Linked DNA regions of Arabidopsis thaliana. The protein of the gene in region 3 interacts with the protein of the main gene of each other region in a pairwise test. Each region holds a gene or a part of one and is shown on either strand. Other genes may lie near its edges.

Region 1 (6,019 bases), on a different chromosome or scaffold from region 3:
AATTTATGTTAGAATCTATTAACTGATGGTGAAAAGTGATATGTGATTGTGTAATGTCTTTTATAGTTTGGTGATGATGAGTTTGGACACATGTTGGTTAACATATTGAAGAAGAACGGTGTGAACAGTGAAGGTGTTTGCTTTGATACCAATGCAAGAACCGCGTTGGCCTTTGTGACTTTGAAGAAAGATGGTGAGAGAGAGTTTATGTTTTACAGGAACCCTAGTGCGGACATGCTCTTGAAAGAATCTGAACTCAACAAGGATCTTATCAAGAAAGCTAAGATTTTCCACTATGGTTCCATTAGCTTGATCTCTGAGCCATGTAGAACAGCTCACATGGCTGCGATGAAAACCGCTAAAGATGCGGGAGTCTTACTCTCTTATGACCCGAACGTTCGGTTGCCTCTTTGGCCTTCTACTGAAGCTGCTATAGAAGGCATCAAAAGTATTTGGAATGAGGCTGATATTATCAAGGTATGTTTGTTTTTGTTGTAACAACCGGACTCGTGTTTTCGATGATCTTAGTGTTCGAGTTTCGTGATGTGTAGGTAAGCGATGATGAGGTAACGTTTCTAACGCGTGGAGATGCGGAGAAGGATGATGTTGTTTTGTCTCTTATGCATGATAAGCTTAAGCTGCTTATTGTTACTGATGGAGAGAAAGGTTGCAGATACTACACAAAGGTAAGGGATCAAATTCGACATGATTGTGTGTGTTTTGGAGTTATCTAAACAAAGTTTTTCGACTGTCGAAAAGCGCAGAAATTCAAAGGGAGAGTGCCTGGATACGCTGTGAAAGCAGTTGACACAACTGGAGCTGGTGATTCATTTGTTGGTGCATTTCTTGTCTCATTGGGAAAAGATGGCTCCATACTCGATGTACGTATAACCAAAGACGTTTTCAGTTCATAGATAAGGCATATGAAATTGAGTTTTGGTGATTGAGTAATGTGAATGTTGCAGGATGAAGGGAAGCTGAAGGAAGCACTTGCCTTTGCAAATGCATGTGGAGCAGTGTGTACTACTCAGAAAGGAGCTATTCCTGCACTTCCCACTCCAGCTGATGCTCAAAAGCTCATGAAATCTAAGTCTAAATAGTTTCAATCTTGTTCTGTTCTGTTTCTGTTTCTTCACTCTTGTCAATTTCCTTGGTTTTCACAGAGTATTTTCTCTGTTATCTGAATAAATCTAGTTTCAAGTTTCTGCCAAAATTGATTCCAAACTAATTCATATACCTTGATTTTTAATTACATGACTAATGTTCTATAACAAATAATCAAGAGGCTCTATAATATAAAGAAATGAACATTTTATTGCATATAGAGAAGGTTACAGAGATTTTGGTAGATAGGTTACAAAACATGACACTCCATTTAGCTTACACAATATGAAACTCAAAACTCTTGGATTTATAATAACTCTCTTCAGACTCAGAAAGTAATATATAGTTTCTTCAATATCAGAGTTCTTTGGATTCAGAAGAGCTGATTTTTGCAGTTTGGTCTTCTTCAGCTGCAATGTTAACAACTCTTGGACCCTTAACTTTTTCAGGAGATAGTTTCGTGAGGTTAATAGTGAGCACACCATTCTCAAGCTTGGCCTTGACTGATTCCATATCTACATTATCAGGTAGCTTGAACTGTCTCCAGAATTTTCCATATGATCTCTCCACTCTATGCCATTGATCTCCTTTCTTCTCTTCTTCTCTTTTCCTCTCTCCACTGACTCGTAAAACTCCGTTCTCCTCCACTTCTATCTTTACTTCATCCTTCTTCAAACCGGGGATATCGAGCATTATCTCATGCCCTTCTGCTGTTTCTTTCCAGTCTACTCTTGCTGGAGACAGAGCCACGCTTGTGTCCCTCTCGAGTCCTAATGGGATTCTCTCCAAGATCTTGAATGGATCAGGGAACCGGTCTAGCCAGAGATCGGATAGCAAGCTGCCTGGAGTAGTTTCAAGTGCAGAAGACAAAGACCCTTCACTTGTTTTGATGTTTCCAAGCAACAAAGCTCCTATGAAGAAGATGCTTAGCAAGTGCTTCATCATGGTTAGTGATTTGGATTTATTGTAGAAGGTTGAAACCAAAATTTTAGGCTTTTAACTTCACTTTCTTATTTTGTTTTCTATGATGGTTAGTCTCAATTCTCTGGTGTATATATAATACACATTGTATGAAGAATGAAGAAGTTTCTTGAAATATCTTTCTTTTGGTAGAGTTTTGCAGAGAGAGATATTGAGATTGTTCTAGCTTTTTTGGCTGTGACTTGTACTAATTATGTTACTACACGTTGGATAAGTTTGTTGTGCCTTTAAGGGTCTTCTCTCATGTTCCAGAGACTTCATGTAAAAACTATGGATTGGATTGGGCCTTAATAGTTATTTATATCCAGGCCTATTTTTATTGGCCCATTATGATATTTGGGACCAATTCTGTTTGTGATGAGTCTTAGAATTTTGGCTGCTGCATGGGAAAGGAATGGGAGAGAGTTTGAATGATGCCATGCTCCATTTCAGTTTCTGACAACATTTTAGAGTTTTTGACCTCTATTGCCCTATGGCTAGTTACTTTTAATTCCACAGTCTTTATGCATATTGTGGTCCTGCCTTTACTTTTGGCTTGCCATGCTTGTGTCTTAAGAGAAGCTTGTCGCTATGTTTGTCAATTTATGTTTTCAAAAGAAAGTAAAACTATACAAGCTTCTGAAAAAGATCTTGTCATGGAGATTTTGGTAGGAGAACATTTATTGGTTTAAATGCCACCCAAAGTTGGTCTAATAACCCCATATTGAGATAAAAATTTCGTCTTCGACATATCGTTGTATATCTATATATAGTTCTCTCTTTTCATGAATAAAGATCATCAATTCCTCTTGGTATCAGAGCCAGGTTTTGATATAACTTATGATCCCACCACACATGTGAACTTATTTAAGCTTGTTCTTTCTTGTTTCCTATATTTAGATTCACTCCTTGTCCTAATTCTCATAAATGTCAAAGAACATTTGTTCTGTCTGTGTATTGGCAATTTACATTGATTTGGATTATAAAGTTGAAGGATGAAGATACAATGTGAAGTGTGTGAAAAGGCTGAAGCAGAAGTACTTTGTTGTTCAGATGAAGCTGTACTATGCAAGCCATGTGACATTAAGGTTCATGAAGCTAATAAACTTTTCCAAAGACATCACCGAGTCGCCTTACAAAAAGATGCAGCCTCAGCCACCACAGCTTCTGGAGCTCCTCTATGTGATATCTGCCAGGTTCCAATCTCTTTTCTCTTTAAACACTCGCTGAGCTCTTTAACCGATGTCTCATATATATGTATATGCAGGAGAGAAAAGGGTACTTCTTCTGCTTAGAGGATAGAGCAATGCTGTGCAATGATTGTGATGAAGCCATTCACACTTGCAATTCTCACCAAAGATTCTTACTTTCTGGAGTACAAGTTTCTGATCAGTCTTTGACTGAAAACTCCGAATGCAGCACTAGTTTTAGCTCTGAAACTTACCAGATTCAGTCAAAAGTGTCTCTGAATAGTCAGTACTCTAGTGAGGAAACTGAAGCTGGAAACTCAGGTGAGATAGTACACAAGAATCCTTCTGTAATCTTAAGTCCTTAGAGATATACACACAACATCATGGTTCCGGAGCCATTGATGTTTAATAATAAAAGTTTCTGTAATATATTATCTTACACAGAAGAAAAACTTGTTGAGGAATCAAATCTTTTTGTTACAACAAATATTAAAACCATGACTTAACAACTAAAGTCAGTGGTCATGGCATCGACACAACCAAAGCTAAGTTGTTCCAATAGTTTCAAGAATTGTAGAAATGTGAATACTATTTGAATCGATCTTAGATATATAAACAAAATTTAAAAAATGAATAAATAATTATTGATTAAATATAATTATTTATCTCAAATATCAAGACTTGGATAGAAAATGCATAACTTAATGAGACAGTCATAGATTACTACTATTAGCTCTTGTACTTTCTTTTTGCCTCACTACAAGAACTATAGACCTTGTTGGATTTGAACCAACGTTGGAACATAACTGATTAAGAAGTGACCATTGAGATTCTTCCTCATCATGATCCAATTGTATACATTTATCTTCTCCCACAACGTGTAAAAAAACGTTGGAGACCCCATGCTTACCACGACACACCAAAACTTTGTTCTCCTGGTCGACCAAAAATTTATCCCACTAGCAAACCAAAAAGGCTTGTAGAAACTTTCTCCATGACGCGGCTCCGGTACCGTCAATCTTAGTTGCAATCCCTACATGATACATCTATATCGCCTACTCGCATGCCACGAGTAGCTAACATACAACATTTTTGATCTTCTCTAGTCACTGATAAAGTGATAGGATGATGATAAAAAGGATGATCACCCGGGAGAGACACACTTGTAAATCTCTCTATTGAAAAATCCAAACAAAGTAAGAATTCCCCACTTTCTATGTCTTGCGTGCAAGCAAGCCAGTAAGTATTTCCATTTACAGACATGACATGCTCTTTTAACCGTGGTCCGTGGTATGAACCAGTCGCTATCTTCACCAACAAATCTCCACGAATTAGGGGTAAAGTCATATATTTCATACCTAAACAAGACTATTGATTACTGAACAAGTTCTCTATAGTGTACAATAAACCTGGAAAAAAAGTTTGATTCATAATGGGATGTTAGACTCTTGTAGTCTTGTTAATATTCCAAACCTAGTGGTATAAGATTTTTAATCAGAAAGAACATCAAATTCTTGAAAAATGATCTTTACAATGCTAGTCAAGGAAAACTAAATAGATGACTGCTCCCTGATTCTTGATCAAACAAAACTTTCACTTTCAATCATTGACAGTACGTAACTTAATATTTTCTGGCATGAGTTCATTTATATCTAAGGCCAAGTCCAACGCCACGGGAAAACGTTAAAATAACGTGGGCATGTTTACTTTTTCACTCCAATCAGACGGTATAATTTGCACTATAATAGTGTGATTCTCTTTTTTTGTACAGTGTAACACTATATTTGATGCACTACTGTAGCCACGGCAAATATTAAAATAATAATTTTTTCTTTTGTGTTAACATTATTATATATTAAAATAGCTTATTTAGTTATAATAGATTATATATGATTTGTAATGAGATTTAAGTAATCTAACTAAGGGTTGTAACTAAAAAATAATTTATAAGTACTATTTTTGTAATCTTTAATTTAATAAAATGATGGATTAGTAGAAAATATTAAAACTAATACCGAAGTTGATTGAAAATACAATAAAATAAATTATACATTTATAACATAATTAAAAAATTAAAACCACACAAACATAAAAACTAAATGCAACAAGATATGTTTTAAAAACATAACAAAAGCTTCACAAATGGTTAAGGAAAATTATTTCCGGTTCCGCTAAGATAATTATAATATTGGGTAAAATCTTCTTGGTTATTTGGTGATCTTTTGTCTTCACCTTGATCCGGTTCTCCTTGAACTTGTTTTCCATGAAATAGACTTTCTTGATAATGAGATGCTCGATATTGAGATCCATGATATTGGGAGCCTTCACCATCTTCTTCATGTTGGTTTGTTTGTGCTCTTTTTTCCAAAATTCTTTTTCTCTCATTTTCAACATATGCACGAGAGGATGGATCACTTATAGAATTCAAATCTGCAAATAATATTTTATTCTCTTCTTTCATTCTAGCTACCTCGATCTTCTGCCTTTGAATTTCATTTCTTTCAGAAGTACCTTTAGTAATAGCTTTGATAAGTTTATCATTTTGCTCCAAAAGTTGTTTAAACTGTTCTTCAGATTGTTGTTTTCGCTTTGCTTTTTTCAAACCCATAGGCCTTGAAGATAAACTAAAATTGGCATCTTCACTATCCATATTTAGATCAATTGAATTCATACCAGGGGAAGGTGATGACTCGGTATTGATTGAAAATGATGAAGATGACGTAACATCACGACCTTCTCCTTGGAATGCAGGGGGTGTCTTCATG
Region 2 (8,507 bases), on a different chromosome or scaffold from region 3:
TCATATGCTTACAGAAATATACATATTATATCGCCTAATTCCATAAATCCGTAGAATAACCAATGTTATCGTTACCTTAAATACGTGTTCTTTAATTATACACACAACCGAATATATAATTGAGCAGTAGGAAAAAAATACAATAACCATACTGAACATAAACTATATTGTCAAAACACAAAACATCAACATTAAAAAAAAAAATTATCCAGCAGTATACCGTGGATCATATCCTAGTATTGAATACATGAGTACAACTACAGAAAATAACTTTTATTTTGTTCCTATATATTAATTAAATTAAGCAAACGTTTTGTTAATTATGCTCAAACGTTTTGACATTCATTTATTAATTATATGTAATCAGATTAATCAAATATGATTAAGTTTTTAATAACTCTTTTGCATTTTATTTTGTTCATTGATAAAATAGTAAAACATTAAGTTTCAAAATTAAACCCTATACCTTAAACTTTCTTAAAACATATTTATTTATTTATCATTTAATAAAATAAATCGAAAACAAATAATCAAAAATTGAACCATATACCCTAAAAATCATATAGGCCTGGATTTCCGGTTAAACCCGAGTAAAGCAAACCGGAAGAACCGAATCATTGCGAATTGAAGTAGCAGAGAAGTAAACCGTTCGGAAAAATTAATTTGGGCTATCGGTATTCGGTTCGGGTCAGTTCGGTTATCAGAGTCCGATCGGGTTAACCTAAACCGAGTATTAGAAGCCCTATATAAGGTTAATGTTTCACCAACCCTATTTTCTCTACTTCTCTCCGCCTCTCTCGCATCTCCAAATCGAAATCGCTCTCTGCCTCTCTTCGTCTCCGTCTCCGTCTCCGTCTCCATCTCTGTCTCCGGTGAGTATTCATAAATCTGATCTCAGACAACATTAGATTTCGATTGTAAGTTCTTTAGGTCTGTAGATTTTGAGTAATGGGTTTGACAACATTAGATTTATATTGCCCACTCTCACTTGTTTGTGTTGATTACTGTAATGTTGAATTTGGGTTTCATCTACTAACTAAGATGAAATCAATTTGAGAAGACTAGTGGATAATAGTGAACACGTTTACATGACTTTTGACTTGATAGTTTGCTATTCTTGTTGTATCTGTGTGAATTGTTATAGGTTGCTTGATTTTGATGTTCATGTGTCAAAATTGATAATGTAGCTTTTGTATCTGATTAATTAAGATTCTAATGCAGTTGAGTTTTTGGTCTTAATATTAGGCATTGTATATTATACCAACGTGTGAAGAGGTTCTGTTGTTTTCTGAATTTCTCTTATTTTGTGTTTCATTCAGCAAAAGTGTGTCGTGAGTTGATATTCTTTTAGGCTGAATATAAATGTATGTATAAAATTTGGCTTATATTGTTTGATAAGAACACTAGACCTCTTTCAAGTTGAGCGTTATGTTGATGTATATTACTTGACTCATTTTCAATTCTCTTGACAATATTTGACATTGCATTTACATGTGGTTCCTGTGTTTGTTTAGTGTTCAACCTGAATGTTGAAGTTTAAGACATAAATCATCTATACTTGGTTGTTTCTTGATTTTGAATCCTTAATAAGACATGGAATTTCTCCTCTCATCAGGTAAGTCACTGAAAGATGGGGCGTGTTAGAACCAAGACGGTGAAGAAATCTTCACGTCAAGTCATTGAGAAGTACTACTCTCGCATGACTCTTGACTTTCACACTAACAAGAAGATCCTTGAAGAGGTTGCCATCATCCCATCAAAGAGACTCCGCAACAAGATTGCTGGATTCTCCACCCACTTGATGAAACGTATCCAGAAGGGACCAGTCCGTGGAATCTCACTCAAGCTTCAAGAAGAAGAGCGTGAACGCCGTATGGACTTTGTTCCCGATGAGTCTGCTATCAAGACTGATGAGATCAAGGTCGACAAAGAGACTCTTGAGATGCTTGCTTCTCTAGGAATGTCTGACACATCCGGCATCTCTGCAGTCGAGCCACAACAAGCTATGGCACCAATCGCTGCTTTCGGCGGCAGGGCACCCAGAAGATACTAAGATGGCCTCAGCTAATCATCAGCTACGATTGGCTCTCTTTTTTCTCAGTTAGGGACAAGAAAGACTTGTGTGGTTGTTTATTGTTTCTTCTGATTATGTCTTAAACTCAATGTGAGACTCTTTCGTATTAATGGTTTTTAAGTTATGTGGAACCAAAATTGGAGTTCAAACATTTGATAGTACCAATACTTTTTGCTTATCAGATCCGAGTTGATTCATGGGAGAGTTGTTGTATCAGCGAAGATTGTGGAGTTTTATGAAGGACTGTTAGTGAAACATTCCACAGGTCGAAACCATTTTAAAACTTTGAACAAGGTAGAGTTGTTCCACAATGAAAATGTGTATATTGCCTGCTGCTTCTATTAACTCTTTAGGTCTAGAGGAAGATATTTTTGTGTTCAGTCTTTGGATTTGGTTAATATCATGAAGATGTTCTTTTGGTTACAAGGTCTTCATGAACTAAAACAACACAACTACCATACTTAAGTAAGCCAAATCCAACATTCTTAACATGAGCCTAATACTAAACTATTTAATCCTCTTTTAACACTTACAAATACTTAATGAAGTAGTCTAGTACCAAAGATTCTGTATAATCTAGTATTCCACGGGTCAGCTTTGTTAGTATAGTAGGAGAGGATGCAGCACTCGATCCATGGTGGATTTCTTGGAGCCACAAAGTTCGAGCTTTCCCGTATACCGAGCAACCAATTCCGCTTCTTCCTCAGCGTCTCTGTGTCCTGAAACCCTAAACCCCAAAAGTACTCCTGCCAATAAAATCTAGATTAGGCTATCAGAGACGATCTTTGTTGACAGTTTAGATGCAAATAGACCAAATGGTGTATTTACTGCGTCTTTATTGCATAAGAAAGCCTCTAAAGTCGCTGTTGAATCCTCCAGTGTCAACAAAACTTGGTGGTGACGGCGATTCTCATCTGAACAGAAATCCTCTACTTGCCAAGGATATGCAGCTACAACCCGAACAATACATCTGTACTTGCATGTAACCTGTAATAACAACGTAGGCGATCACATAAAAGTATTCTTAATCTTTTCAGGGAATACAGCAAATAGATTCATGAATGGTACCTTGGGGAATGTTATGATGTCCATCAGTGTAACAAATGGGGCACAATTGTCATCTGTCTCTGCAAGACACCAAGAATGTTAAGGAAGTCTGTCTAAAGATTGACACAGAGAAAAACATTCGTTGAGATTAGATCCTGCTCATTAAGTAAAAGAGAAGTATTGCAACCTGTTAATCCAGGAGGTGACGGAAAACACCAGAATGAAATGTGTCCCAACTTTGATGATAGTCTCTTATCATATATCCTAGTTTTTGGCACATTAGATTATAAAACAAAATGGTAAGAGATTCTCATGGTATGCAAAAAGGTCGGAAGTAGTTACTGAAAGAAATATCAAGAAGTACAAACCTCATGATCTTTTCAACTAAACGATCATCTTGAGCGAGATGATGAACCTTTGTAGAGCTGGTAACTTTGATTACCCAAGATCCTCTATCAACTTCACAGAGTAAATGGTAAAGTTTCACCCAATCACCAGGTTTAACCCGATAAAATAGATGACTGCTTAGATGAACTCTCAAGATCGTTCCAACGGTTGGAAAGCTGAGCAGTACATCTCTTGACAGTAAAGTATGAACAGAGAGACTGCTAAATGCCTTGTCTTCTTCACTTCTCCTGTCGATAGCCAAACATTGTACACCAAATAGAAGAAGAGTAAGCGTAGGATATGGAAAGCGTAGAGTCAAGCCTAAATGAATGACTCAAAACAGATAATGTGAGGATTTAAAACTTTTTTCCTTCGCAGTTAATACTCACTTAGCCAGAATAGATGCTGGGGGTGCATCAGTCCCGTCCCAAACAAAAACAGCGCTAGTATCTTCATCGGCATGGAGAATCTCCATCACAAGAAACAGCAGGAAACAAGGTAGGATCAGTCAACAAAACATAAAAGGAGCCAAAAAAAGATTTGAAGTAACAATGAAGTGGTATAGAGGAATGAAGAGTTAAAAAGCTTTCTCACAGTTAATAGAGAGTATAGAGCATATTACCCTGCACACCAAATCAAAGCGTTTTCCTATCTTGATCTCTCTCAAGAAGGAAAAAACTTCGGAGCAAGGTTTTGTTCTGTAAGATATACTCTGCATAGCTAAGTACCAAAACAGTAAATGAAAGCTTATGAGAATCGTTCCAAGCTATCCAAAGCCATTATACTATATGCATAGTTGAAAGCAAAAGAAGCTCACAGTGTTACCTTTAATAACTTGGCTACAACCCGCAAAAACTTTGCGTAAATCATCCATGGCACTCTTGTATAATGCTTCTTCTTCATGAAAATTGGTACTACATTGGTAACAAACAAAATCCACACCTTCGAACAAGGCAAAGGAAGAAACCCATCTACTACAAGCAGCATTTACTCTTTCTCCACTATCAAAAGTTTGCATCTACACAATAAAAATCCAAACTTTATAACCTCCTGCACAAAACACAGAAGGAAAATGAAGAGGTCTTTGTACCTTAATGCGAGTAAACAGAATCATGTCGTCGTGGTTCTTGATTTGAGGAAGTTGTTCAAGAGTCTTACTAAATACATTAACAGTAAGTCCAGGACTTGGATACGTATCATCAATTATCCGTAGCGTACAAATCCAATCTAAGAAAAAAATCCAACTTTCAGATTTTGTTGGGTCAAATGTTAGGGCTTTCACAAAACAAACCAACTAAGATTCAGATTCAAGCAAAATTCTATGTATTTAACTCAAATTTTGGTTTTTTTTGGATAAGTACCATTGTTGCGACATTGTTTTGGTTCTCTTTGTTCAAGGACGATACCAATGAGACTGACTTGTTGGTTGATGAGTTTAATGGCGTCTTTGATTTTGATGAGCTTGGGACTCTCTCTCTTCTTCGCCATCTCCCGCTTTGCTACAACGTTTTTAAGTATTATCCTGACGTCACAAAATTAGAGAGTGGTAATATGTGGAATGAGTATCAACAGAACACTAAGCACCAACCTGCAGCCCATAGCCAATAAGTGGAGTGAGTATACATTGGAGGCAATAAGTGGAATGAGTATACATTGGAGCCAATAAGTGGAATGAGTATACATTGGAGGCAATAGAATAGCCATCAACGGAATGACAATGCAAGGATATCAAAAGAACACTAAGCACTAACCTGCAGCCCACTGGAAGTATTCAATGCAGAATCAGACTGAAGGCAAAAAAACTTTATCTTTCTCTCACTTGAATCATCCCCTGGATATAGCAAATTTCATCACAATGGTGAGAAGTAACCAAAGCTAACAAATGTTCCAGAATATGATCCTTCCCTTACATCAACCATCTCTCACAAGAAAATTCTTCAATCCACAATTTTTACTACTTTTATCTACCAAATCCTCAAATCCATTACAATGAACATAATCCCATGAATACAAATGATATATTTTGTTGTGATTAGATTTTAAAGGAATAAACTAACCTCAAGGTCGTATCTGTGCACATTGTTTCCGGCGACGACGATTGCCACCGGAATGAGACCTTATCAATGATCAATTCCGTTAGGTATCGAAATTAGAACCCCTTCATCAACGAACAACACTAGATCTCTCCAGTGAAACGGCCGACGCTTCTCGATCCTCTAACGACGCTCTCAATTCCACATTCTTCTCGCCGTTCTCCGTGAAGTTGCTTCTGTGAAGATTCACTAAAGTCCCAATCAATGTAATCGGAGAAATCTCCGACCAAATCGCTATCGCCAAAGAGACTGTTTTTTTTTTCTTGTTTCTTTTTTTTGCCAAAAAGTTATGTTATATATATCAACCCAGTGCATCATCCAATAATGGTGAACCTTGGAGAGGCCAGTACAAACAGGATACAGAGATAGAATTTTTACATATCAAAGACGTCTAAGTAAAGATAACAACATTTACGTTACAGTTAAGGTACAATATTGAACTACCACGAGCATCTCCAAGAGATACTCTATCCCTCAAATATAAAGTTTTAGGTTCTCTAAAAGATAATCCAATATAATTTAGAGCATATCCAAAAGATATTTTATATATAGAGTATGTAAACTTCAAATATAAAGTATGAGTAGTTTCTTCTCCAAGAGTATACTTTAAATATGAAGTTTCTAAAATATGTGTTTTGCATTATAGTCTTTATATTGTTCATAATTATTTTAAAACTATATAACTTTAATAATAACACTAAAACATACATTAAAATATTACACATAATCTTAATTAACAAAACAATACATTTATAAATAAAATACATATAAATAAAAATTAAAAATACATAAATTAACTTATAAATTACAAATTACTCAATAAAATTATTTTCGTAATGCTCTCATATGTGATCAATCAATGCATTACGAAGAGATAGATAAGTCTCTTTATTTTTAATCTGTAGATTACGAGTCAAAGTGTTGAAATATTTTGAATATATAAAAATTAAAGGACTAAAATGATAAGGGAATGTGACACGTTTAGACACTTTTAAAGAATTTTATTCCTTTTGAGGCACTTTTCAGGGATTAGGCACTTTGCCATCTTTTTGAGGAGAAATTGGACTAATTTACCCCTGAAGTAATGATGACACAATAATTATTAAACTTATTTTTGATGAGATCGTGTGGGTAAGAAACTATCCCCCTTTTATCATCTCTCTCTTCCATATTCTTTTGTTTTTCATCATTTTCAATCTCTCTTTCAAAATCATTGTCGTTCTCTATAATTTTTACAAAATCATGAAAATTATGAGGTTATCCTAAATTCACAATCAAAATCTATGTTTACCCTAATTTTTTTTTTTTTTTTTTACTTTTGTATATTTTTCTCCATTCGCTGGAAAACTTATGGCCACCACCATCGTTTCTTATCGAAGGATTATTAACATTAGAAATCCAATTCGCCGAAGATTAAGACAGAAAATATTGGTCTCAACTCAGATCACTAAGGATGTTTGAATTGGGGAAGAAGAAAAACTGAATCATTGTTTGGGAGAGGTAAGAGCATCTTTAACCAAATTTTATCCTCTCTCGTATTGGATTTTTACTTGGCTTTATCTGTTTCTTAAGATTGAATGTTAAATTGATAAATAGTAAGATAGGATTCAATCCCAAGTTAGGATCGATTTGACAAATTACTTGAAGAATTTTAAATTAAGTAGTTGACTCAATCCCAAGTTAGGATCCAGTGATATGAATGTTGTGAATTGACATTGAAATTTGATTTGTTAAAATGCATCTAGTTTTCCAGTTAAAATTCTAATACCCTTCTCTGGGAACACCTTGAATTCCTTGTTTAATTTTTGCTCTATTTCCAGCCTATAGATACGTAGTTGGTCTTCAAAAACTTTGGCTAACAATAACTTTGTGTTAATCTCTTTCTATCTCAAAAATGCTAGGGAAGATGTGATATTTGGTTTTATTGGAGCTATCGTTTCCCAACAGATACATCTTCCGGATCTAGAAATGATGTGTTTAGATCACACACCTATCCACACCTCTATATCCATATGACTTTTTACATTAGCTGCAATCACCAATTTGTTTTGACAATTTGTTCACATGTATATGGATACTCTTATCATTGCATAGCACTTGGCCACTCTCTTGAATTTGATGACGTTAAACTGATCATATGATTGTTGGCTTTTTAGATTTTAGATTTTGCTTGTTTATGGAATGTTTGTATCTTAGTTCTAACAATGTGGATGACGATAATGGAATGTTTATATGGATGGCACATTATGGATGACGCATCGTGGATTGTGCAGATTGTTATGATGAGAGTTGTGAATCTTTTGGTCTTACATGTTAAGAATTGGAAAAGCTATATGTGGTGCTTTTGGTACGATTGTTGTCCACAAAGTTTCATCCATCTGATTCTTAAAGAACATTTAGTCATTCTAAATCATTTAGATATTCTTTTTAAAGATATAATTGTTCACTGACGAGTGTCCAAACAATCAAGTCCAAATGGTCACCTAGTAACTCACAGTTTGTTTTATATCAATGCACAAATTTATACATGAACAATAATCGTTGATAAAAAATTTGTTGAACTTTTGGGTTCTTCCTCTATTTAACTTTTAGAGGTTCACTTCTCTTACATCTCTTAGTTCTCTTTAATGCTTTGTTTCACTCACTCATTTTAACTCAAGCACAAAAAGAACCTTCACTCTCATTCTCTCAGTCTTTGGTTAGTTTCTTGTTTTGACACGAAGACATAAAACGATTAGTAAGAGAGAGAAAAGTGAAAACATTAGTTGTCAACATTTTTGTATTGGATTCAAAGATAGATTCTTATTATAAGACATACACACACATATTCATACTAGTTTACTTCTACTAAGTACACACTTGCATTATGCTTCTACTTAGACCTAGACCTTACTTTAAGACATCAT
Region 3 (7,727 bases):
AGAGAGGGAATGATCCGGTTTAAATCAGTTGGTTTGGGTTTGGTTGGTTATTGGTTTTGGATTTTGGTTTACTTAAAAGGAAAAAGTGAAAAACAAAAAGTAATTTATTGTTTTAGAAGAGGCCCAAATTTAATCTAGGACGAAGCCCACAGTAAAAGCATGCGTTGTGACGTCACATGAATGAGAATAAGTTTTAGGTCCAAGAACTTCCATCCCAAGTTATCTGAAAACATGCTTTTAGAGATGATGAAGAACAGAAGAAGGGAAACATTGTACATCTTCCGGACCGGAGGATTTGGTTGTGGAGATACTCACTAGGGTTCCGGTGGTATCTCTGAAACAATTGCGATCAACACCCAAAGGGTGGAACGCTCTTATCAAAGATGGACTCTGCTTAGACACAACGGCAGTCTCCTCTGGTTATCAAGTTGATTGATTATAGGGTTTAATTAGTGAGTCTCGATCTCCATGGAATTGTGACAAGGTGTCTTGGAGAAGGCAAAAAGGTAAGTACCAGACCAGAGCTAGTGTCTTGAAACAGTTGAAAGTCACAACAAATAGTTGTGTAATGTTGGTTTTCTTTTGTGAAGGAAGCATACATATTTCTTTTATAACACCATGACCAGTGAAACACTTGGTGGGTCTATGAATGATCCTAATTATCACATTGGCTTTGCGTCTTTTGTGTAATTTGATATGGTTATAGAGTTGCATGTCACATAGGTTTCATTGACTCGGAAGATGATATTTTCTGGATAGGTTTTGGTTCCTGGCCTCATTTACATTTTGATCAAAAATCTTGGTTTTCAAGGATATACTAGTTTGTAAAATTTCATAAGGCCAATTTTATTTTACAAGTGCCTTGGGACTATAGGTAGATAGATTCAGGTACATTAGCAAATGCAAAATGAGAATTGATTTATCAAACTTTTAGTGAAATACACATTTTAATTTATTAGTCTATTAAATATGTAAGTATGATGACTTCATGAAAAATTAAAGGAGTAGGGCAGAGATATATAATGTTCAAAGATATAACCCCACAAGTCAATTATTACTTAGAAGCATTTTGAGTTATACAATAGAAATATATTAAGTATATATATGATCTTCCCATATTTATTGAGTAAGTAAAAAGAAAAAAAATGATCTTCCCATATTTATATAAAATTATTTACATTTAATTTTAATTGAATATGCTTTTAATGTTACAAAATTATAACCACAGAAATAGAAAAAATTAATAATGATAAATAAATGTTGAGAAAAAAGAAAGATAGTAAGAATTAAATTTAGGAAAAAAAGAAGTTAAAAATCTGTGTGGACAAAAAGAAAAAATCTCCATATTTATTAGTGTAAAGGATAAAATAAAAGACAATTACGTGATCTCCTCCTTCCTATATATATAAATGATCTTCCCATATTTATAGAGTAAATCAAAGAAAAAAAAAGAAGAAGATTAAAAATCTTGATTCTATCGTCTCTCCATCTTGATTCTTTGAAAATTGGTTTAATCACAGTCGTGTGAGAGATGATGACGTTCAACGACCTTCCGGAGGATTTGGTAGTGGAGATACTCTCTAGAGTTCCGGCTGTATTTCTAGCACGATTACGATCAACATCCAAACGATGGAACACTTTGATCAAAGATGGGAAACTTTCTAAGAAGCACTCTTCTAATGCTCCAAGGCACTCTATGGCTCTCGTGTTGATTGATCATAAGGTTTATTCAGTGAGATCCAATCTCCGTGGAATTCACAATAGCGTTGCTCCATATGTTAACATAACATGTCATTTTAGCCTAAAAGAACATCTTTCTAATAATTATTCAACAGAAGTCGATATAGGCCACGTCTTTCACTGCGATGGCTTATTGCTATGCACCACCAAGGACTATAGACTGGTGGTTTGGAATCCGCTTTCAGGTGAAACAAGGTGGATTCAACCAAGATTTTGCTACAAGAAAGATGACTGCTATGCTCTCGGTAGATCCTCTTGCAACAAGTACAAAATCTTGAGGCAGGGTCGTCTTATCAATCCTAGCGAAGAACGTTACGTGTACAACATCGTGGGGGAGGATCTTGTTATCAACAATAGCCAAGAACGTTACGAGTACGAAATCTATGACTTTAACTCTAATTCGTGGAGGAGTATTGGTGTGATCACCGGCTTGTTCAATCCAAATATCACCAGTGGCGTGTCTGTAAATGGAATCACTTACTGGTTTGATATTAGTGAACAATTCTTACTAAGTTTTGATTTCTCAACAGAGAGATTTGGAAGTGAGTCTCTCCCAGAGGGTGATAGTCATTTGGCTTTATCAGTGACTAGACAAGGGAAACGACTTTGTATGTTATCTACTAATTACACATACGTAACCGGAACAAACGTTAACTTATGGATAGCAACGAAGACTAGTGAGAACACCAGAGCAATGTCATGGAGCAAGTTCCCAATACTGCGGGGCGGAGTTGGTCTACGCTATCGTTGTCATTTTAGGGAAGGGGTGAGTTTCTTCGCATACCAAGTTAAGGAGAAGATTGTTGTAGTTTCTTGTCATAGACCCAACCGGCACTCCAAGGACATCATACACATTGTGGAAAATGATAAATTCATAGAATTGGATCATCATGGTGCAAAACCTACACATGAATTATCTCCTACCCCACGTCTCCTCATATATGTTCCAAGTTTGGTTCAAATTCAACATGGTATTTAGTTCTTTGGAGGAGGCACCAAGTCAGCCAGTGCATGGCCTTGTAATTGTCACACTAGTCTATGCATTATCTAATCTAACTCTTGATATTTTATAAGTAAGATATATGTACGCATTTCTAAGTTATAACTTGTTGCTACCCTTTTGCTAGTGGATAATTCGAGGCACATGGCATTTTCATAATTGGTCAATTAGTTATTAAGTACCAAAATTTTGAAAAGGAAAAAAATTAGAAATGCTTAGAACATATTAGAGCAAAACATATGTAAATTTTGTGCAAGAATAAGGGAAAAGCAAATAAAATCAAAATAAAATTGTATATTGTGGAATTAAGAAATGAAAGAGGAACGCAATTTAGTTTTAAAATCTGACATATTAGATATAGTTGAGTCAATTGTTTTCCACCGAAGAATTGGTTGTGGTTCCATCTAACTTAAGATATTTTGTGTTAAGATGGTTTATTTGTAGAGATATATTATAATTATATATGATTTCTAACCAAAACAACAAGAAGTTTTTAAAGATGGGTACAAATTGAATTAACTAATGTAATTCCACATTGTCATTTGGTAAAAGAAAGATATCTTGACAAAAGAGATTAAAAGAATTATGTGAAAAACCTTGGCGACCTTAAACCATCTCCAATGTCTTTATATCTTTGGCATCATTAAGAGTAAATGTGTATCTTGATCAAACCTGAAACCACTAAAGAAAAACATATGAACTCAAATAGAGGCCAATTAAAGATGAGGTCCAAAGAATAGGGAGTGTCAAGCCTTTCACAAAGACGACGCCGTTTGGCTAAAAAAGGCCCAAGATCACAACGACGACGTTTGCTGAAGAAAAATGAAAAATCTTTCACTACAATCATTAGACCAAAAAAGAAAAAAAAAATCAAAGGAGCTTCCTTTTTTCGCTCTCGTCTCCGTTTACCCTTTTGGGATTTTTCCCTAAACCTTTTTCTCTCTTTGTATAATCAAATCCTCTTTATCTTTCATTGTTTCGCGTGAATTAGCTCTGCAAAGGCTCTTCATTCTTCTCGCTTGGATTCCTCTGCACAAAAGGTACCCATTTGATGTCAATTTTGGTTTATTGTTTTGATTGCCCTGTCCAAGTGACAAGTCTTTGTATGTATGATATAGGTAGTGGGTTCTAGTTTGTAGATGAACTTGTCGAATTTGGAGGGTTTTTAGTTGGAAGCATTTATATGTGGGATTTGGAATTGTTCTGTCTATTTGTTCTTAGCTTAAAGGTTGGGACTTAGCTTAGGACTTATGAGCATGAGAGAAGGAGACTTTTTTTCCAATTCGAATCTGATTGATGAAACTTTTTTTACTGGATTTGGGTAGATATTGTTACGTTTTAAGGTAGTTGACTGTTGTTAGTTGTTGTTTACTCGAGATTAGATTATTGTCATCTACTCTTGTTATAAAAGAAGCTCCTTTGTACTATATCAGTGCTGATAACTATTAATGAAGTTCCTTTCCCTTAGGTGGAGATAGTTTCTTTGTATTTGCAAACTCAATTTATGTGAGAATATATCCACCATTATTGAGTTTCTTCAACCTATACCGTCTCTGACAATCTCGCTTTTTCGTTATTAAGAACGTTCCAGTCTTAATTAATGTTATCTTCCTTTGGATGTAATTGGTAACAAATTGCAGAAAAAAGACCATGGATGATCTTCATGGAAGAAATGGTCGAATGCACATTGGTGTAGCGCAAAATCCAATGCATGTGCAGTATGAAGATCACGGTTTGCACCATATCGACAATGAAAACAGTATGATGGATGACCATGCTGATGGTGGGATGGATGAAGGAGTGGAGACAGACATTCCTTCTCACCCTGGAAACTCAGCTGATAATCGTGGTGAAGTTGTAGACCGTGGAATTGAAAATGGAGATCAATTGACATTGTCCTTCCAGGGACAAGTTTATGTTTTTGACCGTGTCTCGCCTGAGAAGGTAACTTTAAGTTAATTTTGGTTCTTTGATGTTTTAGTTTTGGATACATATGGTCAACGTATCCACCTGGTTGGTTTTGTTTTTCGCTTATTGAAGTGCTGCTCAATATTATGCAGGTTCAAGCTGTGCTTTTGTTACTTGGTGGAAGGGAAGTACCACATACACTCCCAACAACCCTAGGATCACCTCATCAGAACAATAGGGTACTGGTAATAAAAGATTTAATACCATATGGGAAATCAGTTTATTCCCCAGTTTGTTGCTGACTAATAAATGAACCAGGGTCTATCTGGTACTCCTCAACGGCTTAGCGTTCCGCAGCGGTTAGCTTCTTTGCTCAGGTTTAGGGAGAAACGAAAAGGGAGGAACTTTGATAAGACTATTCGCTATACAGTCAGGAAAGAAGTAGCCTTGAGGTACGTTTATGTCAAGTACTAGCTTTTGTGTATGTCGAGCTTTTGAGATACGTCTGTTTTGCAATTAAGGTTTTGTTTGTTCATGCAGAATGCAGCGTAAGAAAGGTCAGTTCACGTCGGCTAAATCAAGCAATGATGATTCTGGATCCACTGGATCGGATTGGGGGTCAAACCAGAGCTGGGCCGTAGAAGGGACTGAGACTCAGAAGCCAGAGGTTTTGTAAGTTGAAAATGCTTTAAATTTCTTACAACAGTTATATTAACTTTAGTGAACTCGTTATAAAACCTCAATTAAGTCTAATACATGGAAACAATTTATTTGGTAACCATTTAATGACGCTCTTTTCACTTCCATAAACTTTGTCTATATACGTCAACTCTGAAATTTATAGTTATACTTATCATGATGGCATCACTCATTCGATACCTGCAACTGATAACTTATACTTGTGAGAGGATAAAAATAACTGAACCGACTATGTTGTTGCATGTTAAGTCATTGTAGTTGATATGAACTTATTTATAGCTTGGTATACTTGGAAAGCTTGTCTCTGTTCTTATTCTTCGTCAAATGGTTGTGAACATGTTAAGATGTCGACACTGTGGAACAAGTGAGAAGTCAACTCCAATGATGCGACGTGGACCTGATGGGCCAAGAACACTTTGTAATGCGTGTGGACTGATGTGGGCAAACAAGGTAAGCTAAGAGTTTCTTAGTTCACATTGATCACCTCGTCTCGTATCACTTTTTTGACTCATTGATCAGGCCTATATATCCGAGTATGAACCTAACAATAACATTCCCTTTGACTTTATAATATCAGGGGACTCTTAGAGACCTATCCAAAGTCCCTCCTCCGCAAACACCTCAGCATCTATCTCTGAATAAGAATGAGGTGAGCCGTGAGCGCAGTATTTCATAGAGCTGGAGTTTTGATTTGCTTATTAAGAGAACATACATTCATTTTTTTTTTCTCAATCACTTTTGTTGCAGGACGCAAATCTTGAGGCTGATCAAATGATGGAAGTAACTGGTGACATTAGCAACACACAGTGAGAACTGAGAAACCATTGGAAGCAAGAAAGGATCTCAAACAAAAACAGTTGTTATCATTTCATTTGATGATGGAATCGAATCTGAGTTGTGTTTAGGGTTTCTCTGGGTTAATCTCAGTCTATGTGGGCACATTTTAGTCTTCTACAAATTATAAGACACTCTTCACTTATTTAGAAGCTCACTCATCAGAAAAGAAAAAAAAAACTTTGCTCAGTCTCTCATCTGTGTGTTTGATTATATTTTCAGGCAGAAAACTTTTTTTTGTTCTTGTATTTGATTACAATTAGTTAAATATTTAAGACTTAGTAGAGATAATGCAATCTATGTATAAAAATAGAAACAATGATTGGTTATGTCGTGCAACCCAAGTGACCTTAATGTCGTACACACGTTCATCAGGTTAAAACGAAATTTCTCAGCAACTTCACTATTCTCTCTGTCACATTGTTTTATTCTTTTCCATTATCTTTATTGGAAACTTGATTAGAAAGAACTGATTAAGGTATGAAGATAATTAGTGTACCATTCTTCACATGATACGAGGTGAACAATAGTATATCAGAATACTAGAATAATTTTATAAGTTATAAAGATGAATGGTATACCACTTATTACAAAACGAAAACATAGTTAGATCTGAGAAGAAGGAAAGATTTTTGTTTTAAAAAATGAGATGGTTAGATATATGCCATGTTAAGAGATGCCACCATGTTCTTCTTCTTCTTCTTACCCGGAAAAAACTCTTTCTTCTTCTCTTTCCCATAAAAAGAAACAAAAAAAAACTAACTTCCCACAAATTTTGCCAAACCAAACCAAAAATAGTAATGATCTCATTCAATTTGAACCCTCTCTCCATTTTCTTTCATAGTTTTTTTTTAGGGTAAATCAAAATATTAATGTTGGTTAGAAACTCAAAAATTAGTTTCTCTTTTTTTTCTCTGTGATTGACAGAGAGGTAAGAGAAAAAAAAGAGAGAAAGTGTTTCGGTTTTTGTTGCCTTCTCTCGAGTTAGGCCTTCTCTCTTCCGTCACACCATCATTTTTTTTCTCCATAACGACCAAATCATAAAACCGGTCGTTCCTATTTTTTCTTTCTCTGCGTTTTTTGTTTCGAATTCTTCAATAGAATTTTAAAAGAAAGAAGAAAGCTGGGTGAGACGAAGGAAGGAAGAATGAGCACTTCGTCGAGCAACGGATTGCTTCTGACGTCAATGTCAGGACGTCATGACGACATGGAAGCTGGTTCTGCTAAAACTGAAGAACATTCTGATCATGAAGAGCTTCAACATGATCCTGATGATCCTTTTGATATTGATAACACCAAGAACGCTTCTGTTGAATCTCTTCGTCGTTGGAGACAAGCCGCTCTTGTGTTGAACGCATCGCGTCGGTTTCGATACACTTTGGATCTTAATAAAGAAGAACATTATGATAATCGAAGGAGGATGATCAGAGCTCATGCTCAAGTCATTAGGGTATGTATTTTCTTTATATAATTCTTCCTATCATTTCAACAACAATGTTGTTTGTTTAATTGAATCTCACATCGATAAATCACTTTTATGAATCAG
Region 4 (7,069 bases), on a different chromosome or scaffold from region 3:
ACATAAAAATTGTTGCATTAAATAATAAATGTACATCAATTACAAAATTGTGTATTAATTCGTTTTTTTTTTAATTTAATATTAAATTATATTTAAAGAAAAACTAACATTTTTACAACTAGTAGTGCATCAAATGTTTGATTAACTTTGAAGCTAAAATTTTAAAGAATTTCGAGAACTATAAAATACTCAACTTCGCATCATTGTTGAGAAGATGAAAATTTTCTTGACAAGGATACGCAGATAAAAGTATTATTGCATAGACGCAGTTTCACAAATGTCTATGAATCTTCTTTTCATAATAGAAGTGGAGAACCAACAATGGTGATAGCCTATAAAAAGGCACCTGGTGATGTGTTACAAACAACCATATACTAGGCTTGTCAAGCCAGTGGAGCAGACTGCAATAAGATTAAAGCCTAACCAACCTTAGCTTGTTTCAAGGCCAGCAGGCCAACACTATCAAGGACCATGCCTTCGTTGTCTTCAATAATTATTACCAGCGTTATAAGCACAATGGAGGTTCTAGTTACTTTAATGGCGCATCACCGATTTTTTAAAAACATTTATCTATTTATGACTAAGAGGTTCCGAGCTAAGCACATACATTCTCACAAGCTGGGAACCAAAACATTTTATTTGGTCTGCACATTCATCCTCTTAGGCGGGAACCAAACCATTTTAATTTATATGGTTCTCTCCCGAGTGCCACTCAAAAATGATCATGGATTGCGACCCTAGTATGCAATTCTGGCTAAATCCTTTGGTTTTAGGAGGCTTAAAGTTCTGCTTCCAATATTGTTGTGTTTCAAAGTTGGTGGTGCAATAAATTTCACCTACATATCTTGTTTTACTCATTTGTTATTTTTGGTGCACATGCAATAAAGATTAGATGTTTCACTTTTCTCTTCTTCTCCAGCTAATGAAACAGATATTATATTCAAATGTAGAACTTCAATAAGATATATGGTATTAAAATTACATCAATTTGGTAATTGACATTATCCATTCTGAAACAAAATAAGCTATATATGATAAGCTTGACCACATTCCATATAACATAACTCATATATATTTGAATCAAATTCATAGTCAACAAAATTTGGCAGTTGATATGACTTACACCTAAATATAAGATCTTACATAATTCATTCTTTATTTTGTTGGTCAGAGTATAATCCATTCTAAACACAGAATACTAACACTATAAAATACTCGAGTTATAACCATCTTTAAGCTCTCAAACAGTTCAACTTGCCTCTTGTAAAAGATGAAAACTTTTTGTTTAGGGATAGCAATTGCTCTACTTTTCATAACAGTAACGTTTTCAGGTACAATATTATTGTAACATACACATAATCTCAAAGATCTCTATAACATGGGGTATCTTATTTTTGTAGCGAAAGCGGAGTTCGGACAATGGTGTGTAGCCGATGGACAGATACCAGATAATGTGATACAAGCAGCCGTAGACTGGGCTTGTCAAACAGGTGGAGCAGACTGCAGTACGATTCAGCCTAACCAGCCTTGCTTCTTGCCCAACACTGTCAAGGACCATGCCTCTGTTGTCTTCAATAACTATTACCAGCGTTATAAGCGCAACGGCGGTTCCTGTAACTTCAACAGCACTGCATTTATCACACAAACCGACCCTAGTAAGCAACTTTATCTAAACCCTTTTTGTTACAGTTATTTAAGCTCTTTGATCAATCAAAATCTTGAACCATCTGTTTCTGATTATCTCATGATTTGATAGGTCACGATTCGTGCCATTTTGAGTATGTGCCATTTTGAGTATGTCCAATGATTCAAAGGAAAGACCAAGATGAAATGAAAGATGATGAATTATACTACCGGTGAACAATATAAACAAATCTTTGTTGGAACTTGGAAGTTCTTGTAATGTAGAATTTTGATAAATTGTATGGTAATAAGATTACATTAATATGGTCGTCATTTACATAATCCCTTTAGCAACAAACTGAACAAGTAAAGGAAGATGCTTAATGGTTGTCGACACAGAATTGTTATTAAGCAATCTCTTAGGTAAACAAAAAAAAACAGTGAGTTCATATGTAGGATAAGCTTGACCACAAACTTGACAATATAGATGGTTATGAGATTGTTTAGAAAAGTAAAGTTGCCCATGCAGCAATGAACGCAAAGCCTCCGAATGGTGCCAATGTCGAAAACTTTCTGTCCTCCCGCAGCGCTACCATATAACACCTGCAACAACATTTCAACACACATGAAACTTCTCACATACTCATACCCGGAAATAGACTATTGAACACAAAACTAAAGTTATCTACTAAGCATCTAAAATATAGTTACTTCTCCAAAGAGCATACCTTCACATATCAAAGGAAGTACAAAGGGGACAAATACCATTCATTAACTCAAATACAAAGACCTATGCTATTAAATAAGTGATACAATGGTTTCCAAATGCTTCAGAGTTGGACACATGTCGAAATCGATAAAATCTCCCTAGCCACGAAGAATTGTGGCAAGTATTGCTACTGCTAGAGATTAGATATGAATTCTAGAAAGTCCAAATCATATCTAAATAGCTCAAATATCCATGAATGCACTACTATAACCTCAATGACAAGACATCCAACAAACATCTAGCACAAAAGCTCTACCATACACATCTCAAACTGAAGAATCTGAGAAACAAAAAGATAACAACTTACGTGCCGGAAAAGGCTACAATTCCAGCAGTCAACAAGCCACCAAACTAAGCAAGAAAAAGATATGTCAGCTCCATCAACTCTCAAAGGACAAAGATTAGAGAAACAGAGTACAAGAAGAGAAAGCTAACAATGTTGGGATATTTGGTGCTAGGAGCAGAAACAAGAGCAGCAGTGTGAACCAAATGGTAAAGTGAAGCCGTTTGCCACACCTGAACAACAACAAAAAAACCTAAACTTTCTCACAGAAATCCAACAAAGTATCGAATTTTCCAACAATTTTCAAGAATCTAAACCTGTTTGTAAGAAGGGTTCTCTGGTTTAAAGACATGAGCACCATAAGTTCCCAAACCAAGAGCAGCCATACCTAAACCAATTCTATCCGAATCAGTACCTTTCCTCACAAGATCAAAATCAAAAGATCATTACTTTATCTTAAATCTCACCGGAAATAGCGGCGACTTTGTGCCACATCCGAGGATCCATCGATCGTCGTCCTCTGATGTCTCTTAGATTGCTTCTTACACTATTTCCCATTTGACCAGAGACTTTAAGCGAGATGTGTCAAGTCGGTGATCGGGTCTTATTCGGTTTAAGCCTAAAACGACGTCGTATGTGATGTGTTATTTTCTTCACTACAGCAACTAAAAAGATTCTTCCTTTTGCTTCAGCTGCGAGCTTTGGTTGGATCTCTCACTTGCAAAACCAAATCCCTTATCGACTTCCACCGAAAGATCACTTCTTAACCTACACAAGGTTTGTTTTTCTCATAAAAATCAAACCTTTATTCTCTTTTCTTGATGATTTTGATGCTCTGCTTCTTCTTATCCACAAAACATGAAAACATTTCTTCTTTGATAAGTTTGATGTTGGTTTGTTGTAAATGATTGCTCTTTCTAGCAAGCTTTACTCTAAAGTGTGAAGAGAAATTGTCAAATTAGTTTGTTTAGGATTGGAACTCTTGTATGCCTTGTTTATTGATGAAGTAGTTCATGGCTGACGTAGATTCATAGAGTCATGAGTTGATTTCAATGATACTAGAGTTCTTGTTAGAGTTTTGATCTCCATGGATATTATTGTTCAATATTGATATCTAATTCAGTCTCTGATTAATGACTTTGTCTATGAATTCTACAGGTGTTTGTTATGAAGATCAGATAAATAAAAGGTCATTTGAGGATAATGGTTGATGTTCAAAGATTCTTACTTGCTTATTTGTGATGGACAATGTAAGAGGTTCAATAATGTTGCAGCCACTGCCAGAGATAGCTGAGAGTATCGATGATGCTATCTGCCATGAACTCTCCATGTGGCCTGATGATGCTAAAGATTTGTTATTGATAGTGGAGGCAATATCAAGGGGAGACTTGAAGTTGGTACTTGTTGCTTGTGCAAAAGCTGTTTCTGAGAATAATCTTCTAATGGCACGATGGTGTATGGGTGAGTTGCGCGGTATGGTTTCGATTTCTGGTGAGCCAATCCAGAGATTGGGAGCTTATATGTTAGAAGGGCTTGTTGCTAGGCTTGCTGCTTCTGGTAGTTCGATATATAAGTCTCTCCAGTCCAGAGAACCAGAGAGTTATGAATTTTTATCTTATGTGTATGTTCTGCATGAGGTTTGTCCATATTTCAAGTTTGGATACATGTCAGCGAATGGTGCGATTGCAGAAGCAATGAAGGATGAAGAGAGGATTCACATTATTGACTTCCAAATTGGACAAGGGAGCCAGTGGATAGCACTTATCCAGGCTTTTGCAGCTAGGCCTGGTGGGGCTCCAAATATTCGAATTACCGGAGTTGGTGATGGATCTGTCTTGGTTACAGTCAAGAAGAGACTAGAGAAACTTGCAAAGAAGTTTGATGTTCCATTCAGGTTCAATGCGGTTTCAAGGCCAAGTTGTGAAGTTGAAGTGGAAAATCTTGATGTCCGAGATGGCGAAGCCCTTGGAGTGAACTTTGCTTACATGCTGCATCATTTGCCAGATGAGAGTGTAAGCATGGAAAACCACAGGGACCGGTTGCTGAGGATGGTGAAGAGTCTATCACCTAAAGTAGTCACTCTTGTGGAACAAGAATGCAACACGAACACTTCCCCTTTCCTTCCTAGGTTCCTTGAGACATTAAGTTATTACACGGCAATGTTCGAATCTATCGATGTTATGCTTCCGAGAAATCACAAGGAAAGGATCAATATCGAGCAGCACTGCATGGCAAGGGATGTCGTCAACATCATAGCTTGTGAAGGAGCCGAGAGGATCGAAAGACACGAGCTTCTCGGGAAATGGAAGTCAAGGTTTTCCATGGCGGGTTTTGAGCCATACCCCTTGAGCTCAATCATTTCAGCCACCATTAGAGCCCTCTTGAGAGATTACAGCAACGGGTATGCGATTGAAGAAAGAGATGGTGCTCTGTACCTTGGTTGGATGGACCGAATCTTGGTCTCATCTTGTGCATGGAAGTGAAAGAATAAACGTCTCCAAGAATGTAATGCAAAAGACAGAACTGGAAGTAATAGATAGTTTTGTCTCATAACCATTAATAAGGTTGAATCAAATCATATACATCCCCATGCTACAACTATTACACAGGCTCCATCAACAAAGAAGGGCTCTTGTTGTGTTACCTTCTCTTCCTGTAACTCTTATTTGAACCAAATGGAAGTGGTTACATAAAGGTATTAAAGCATACTATTCCATTAAACACTAATCTAAATCTGGTCCCGCCTGAACAACAACTGTACAGTCTATAACCATATCGCCTGTACTAATCTATGTTAAAACAGCCATATAAATTACCACTCGGTACAACACTGAATGCTTAGCTTTGGGCAGGCTCTGTCTTGGGTTTTTGTTCCTCGCTCTCCAGGGTTCCTACTGCCTTCTCTTGACAAACAGTGGTTTTATCATCTGACTTTGCTTCCGGCTTGGCGTGATTGGCTGCGTGATCTTTGTTTGCATCTGATCTCTCTTTTATTTCCTCCTTCAGCTTCTCATCCAAAACTGGACCTTGATCAAGACTTTTCTCAAAGCCATTAGTCTTCGTTTTCTTTCTTAAGTGATCTTCGACATGCTGGTCTTTTGTAATGGATTGAAGAGTTGAGCTCTGTGGAGTCTTGTTGGCATCTCCTTCTTTATCATCAACTTCCGAGTCCAGCATGTTATTATGAGTAACAACTCTTCCTGGAGGCATATCGTGGTCGTGTTTTCCCTCGTAAGTTGTTATAAGCAACTTTGTGTCATGAGATGACCTCTCTACGTGTTTCTTGACGGGGCATCCAGGGCTTGAACATCTATAGTAGCTCCTAATACATAAAACATCAAATGGAGAAAGAACGTGAGCAGCGAAGAATGAAACCAAAAGTTTGACATTATATTTCAAACATGTAAGCAGTCACTACCTTGGATATGGGCTGCCTTTTACTGATTTCTGACCATATTTACGCCATCGGTACCCATCATTCACAATATCAAACAGAGTCTGAGTGTGAACCACAATGCGTGAATCATTGGTTGACCTCTCCACTGGACTCAGCTCAATGTTCCCTCCTTTCTTCCTGATTTAGTGACATCAACATAAGAAGAAAAAACAAGGAACACCAATGGTGAAGTCTTCCTCCAGAACCATGAAAAACAAACCGACATATCAATCATCAATACCTTCGCTTTGCGGTAGGACTATTATAATCCTTGTGAGTGTTGTCCCCCGTTATCCTACTTGATTGTGAAATATCAGTTTTCACATCATCAGCTGGTGGAATAACTGAAACATGTAATCCTCCATGGATCTTTGGTGGTTCGGTTTGACGAAGTGTCTGAACACTGGATCCAGATGTTTTCTCTACAAACATGATATCATAAGAAACAATGCACAGCTTATAAATTAGAGAAACTATATCTATTCTTTGTTCACCTTTACTAACAGCTGTGAAGACATCACTTCGCTTATCCTGATTGATAGGAACAGCACCAGCAAGAGGCTTTGGGTGATCATGTTCCCCAAAGTAAACGGTATCCACGACTTGTCCACCCGCAGACCGTTCCAACTGTTTTTTCGCTTTGCAGTTAGGGTGAGTGCACCTGTAATAGCTCCTTACAAACTCATTTCCTTTCACAAGTTTCTGTCCATATTTCCGCCAGTTGTATCCGTCTTCCATAACCTTCTCACGAATAAAAGGACTATTCCCTTCCGAACCAGACTGCAAAGATAATGCACCGCTACTTTCAGAAACCTTCGGTGCTTTCTCGGATACCGGGGAAGCAACATCTACTTCCGACTGCGAAGCTACCGTATGTGGAACAAGTTTTTCAAGCTCCTTACAGTCAGTAGATTCCAAACTTTCAACAACGGTTTCAGTTCTAGTTACAGCCACTGGT

The links.
Region 1: the proteins of ZML1 (region 3) and bbx23 interact in binary tests that used the Arabidopsis thaliana proteins (3 or more experiments, as listed by UniProt).
Region 2: the proteins of ZML1 (region 3) and AtPOT1a interact in a two-hybrid assay, tested with the Arabidopsis thaliana proteins (one study listed by BioGRID).
Region 4: the proteins of ZML1 (region 3) and SCL21 interact in binary tests that used the Arabidopsis thaliana proteins (3 or more experiments, as listed by UniProt).

The regions. Positions count from the first base shown.
Region 1 is NC_003075.7:6,366,567-6,372,585, reverse strand, and holds bbx23 (B-box zinc finger family protein), read left to right. Parts: upstream 1-2,635; 5' UTR 2,636-3,059; coding exon 3,060-3,260; intron 3,261-3,331; coding exon 3,332-3,619; 3' UTR 3,620-3,757; downstream 3,758-6,019. Other genes in the region: AT4G10260 (pfkB-like carbohydrate kinase family protein), read left to right, coding at 67-477, 552-686, 765-881, 966-1,100; ATHSP22.0 (HSP20-like chaperones superfamily protein), read right to left, coding at 1,462-2,049; AT4G10230 (no-apical-meristem-associated carboxy-terminal domain protein), read right to left, coding at 5,401-6,019. UniProt on the Arabidopsis thaliana protein: Probable transcription factor that may be involved in seedling photomorphogenesis.
Region 2 is NC_003071.7:1,888,303-1,896,809, reverse strand, and holds AtPOT1a (Nucleic acid-binding, OB-fold-like protein), read right to left. Parts: upstream 6,127-8,507; 5' UTR 5,566-6,126; intron 5,340-5,565; 5' UTR 5,260-5,339; intron 5,097-5,259; 5' UTR 4,997-5,096; coding exon 4,870-4,996; intron 4,736-4,869; coding exon 4,599-4,735; intron 4,527-4,598; coding exon 4,334-4,526; intron 4,229-4,333; coding exon 4,131-4,228; intron 3,978-4,130; coding exon 3,898-3,977; intron 3,757-3,897; coding exon 3,490-3,756; intron 3,386-3,489; coding exon 3,309-3,385; intron 3,202-3,308; coding exon 3,143-3,201; intron 3,062-3,142; coding exon 2,903-3,061; intron 2,821-2,902; coding exon 2,614-2,820; 3' UTR 2,296-2,613; downstream 1-2,295. Other genes in the region: AT2G05220 (Ribosomal S17 family protein), read left to right, coding at 1,631-2,053. UniProt on the Arabidopsis thaliana protein: Component of the telomerase ribonucleoprotein (RNP) complex that is essential for the positive regulation of telomere length. Binds RNA non-specifically. Binds specifically single-stranded telomeric DNA.
Region 3 is NC_003074.8:7,418,442-7,426,168, forward strand, and holds ZML1 (ZIM-like 1), read left to right. Parts: upstream 1-3,594; 5' UTR 3,595-3,780; intron 3,781-4,380; 5' UTR 4,381-4,390; coding exon 4,391-4,684; intron 4,685-4,800; coding exon 4,801-4,893; intron 4,894-4,966; coding exon 4,967-5,100; intron 5,101-5,188; coding exon 5,189-5,320; coding exon of another isoform or gene 5,321-5,324; exon of another isoform or gene 5,325-5,691; coding exon 5,692-5,797; intron 5,798-5,924; coding exon 5,925-5,996; intron 5,997-6,094; coding exon 6,095-6,157; 3' UTR 6,158-6,464; downstream 6,465-7,727. Other genes in the region: AT3G21170 (F-box/associated interaction domain protein), read left to right, coding at 1,532-2,719; ACA9 (autoinhibited Ca(2+)-ATPase 9), read left to right, coding at 7,329-7,631. UniProt on the Arabidopsis thaliana protein: Transcriptional activator that specifically binds 5'-GATA-3' or 5'-GAT-3' motifs within gene promoters.
Region 4 is NC_003071.7:1,718,664-1,725,732, reverse strand, and holds SCL21 (SCARECROW-like 21), read left to right. Parts: upstream 1-3,128; 5' UTR 3,129-3,142; coding exon of another isoform or gene 3,143-3,233; 5' UTR 3,234-3,452; intron 3,453-3,833; 5' UTR 3,834-3,916; coding exon 3,917-5,158; 3' UTR 5,159-5,372; downstream 5,373-7,069. Other genes in the region: AT2G04910 (Carbohydrate-binding X8 domain superfamily protein), read left to right, coding at 1,379-1,753; AT2G04900 (uncharacterized protein), read right to left, coding at 2,127-2,226, 2,700-2,743, 2,828-2,908, 2,993-3,063, 3,143-3,233; ZAP1 (zinc-dependent activator protein-1), read right to left, coding at 5,514-5,997, 6,094-6,249, 6,353-7,069. UniProt on the Arabidopsis thaliana protein: Probable transcription factor involved in plant development.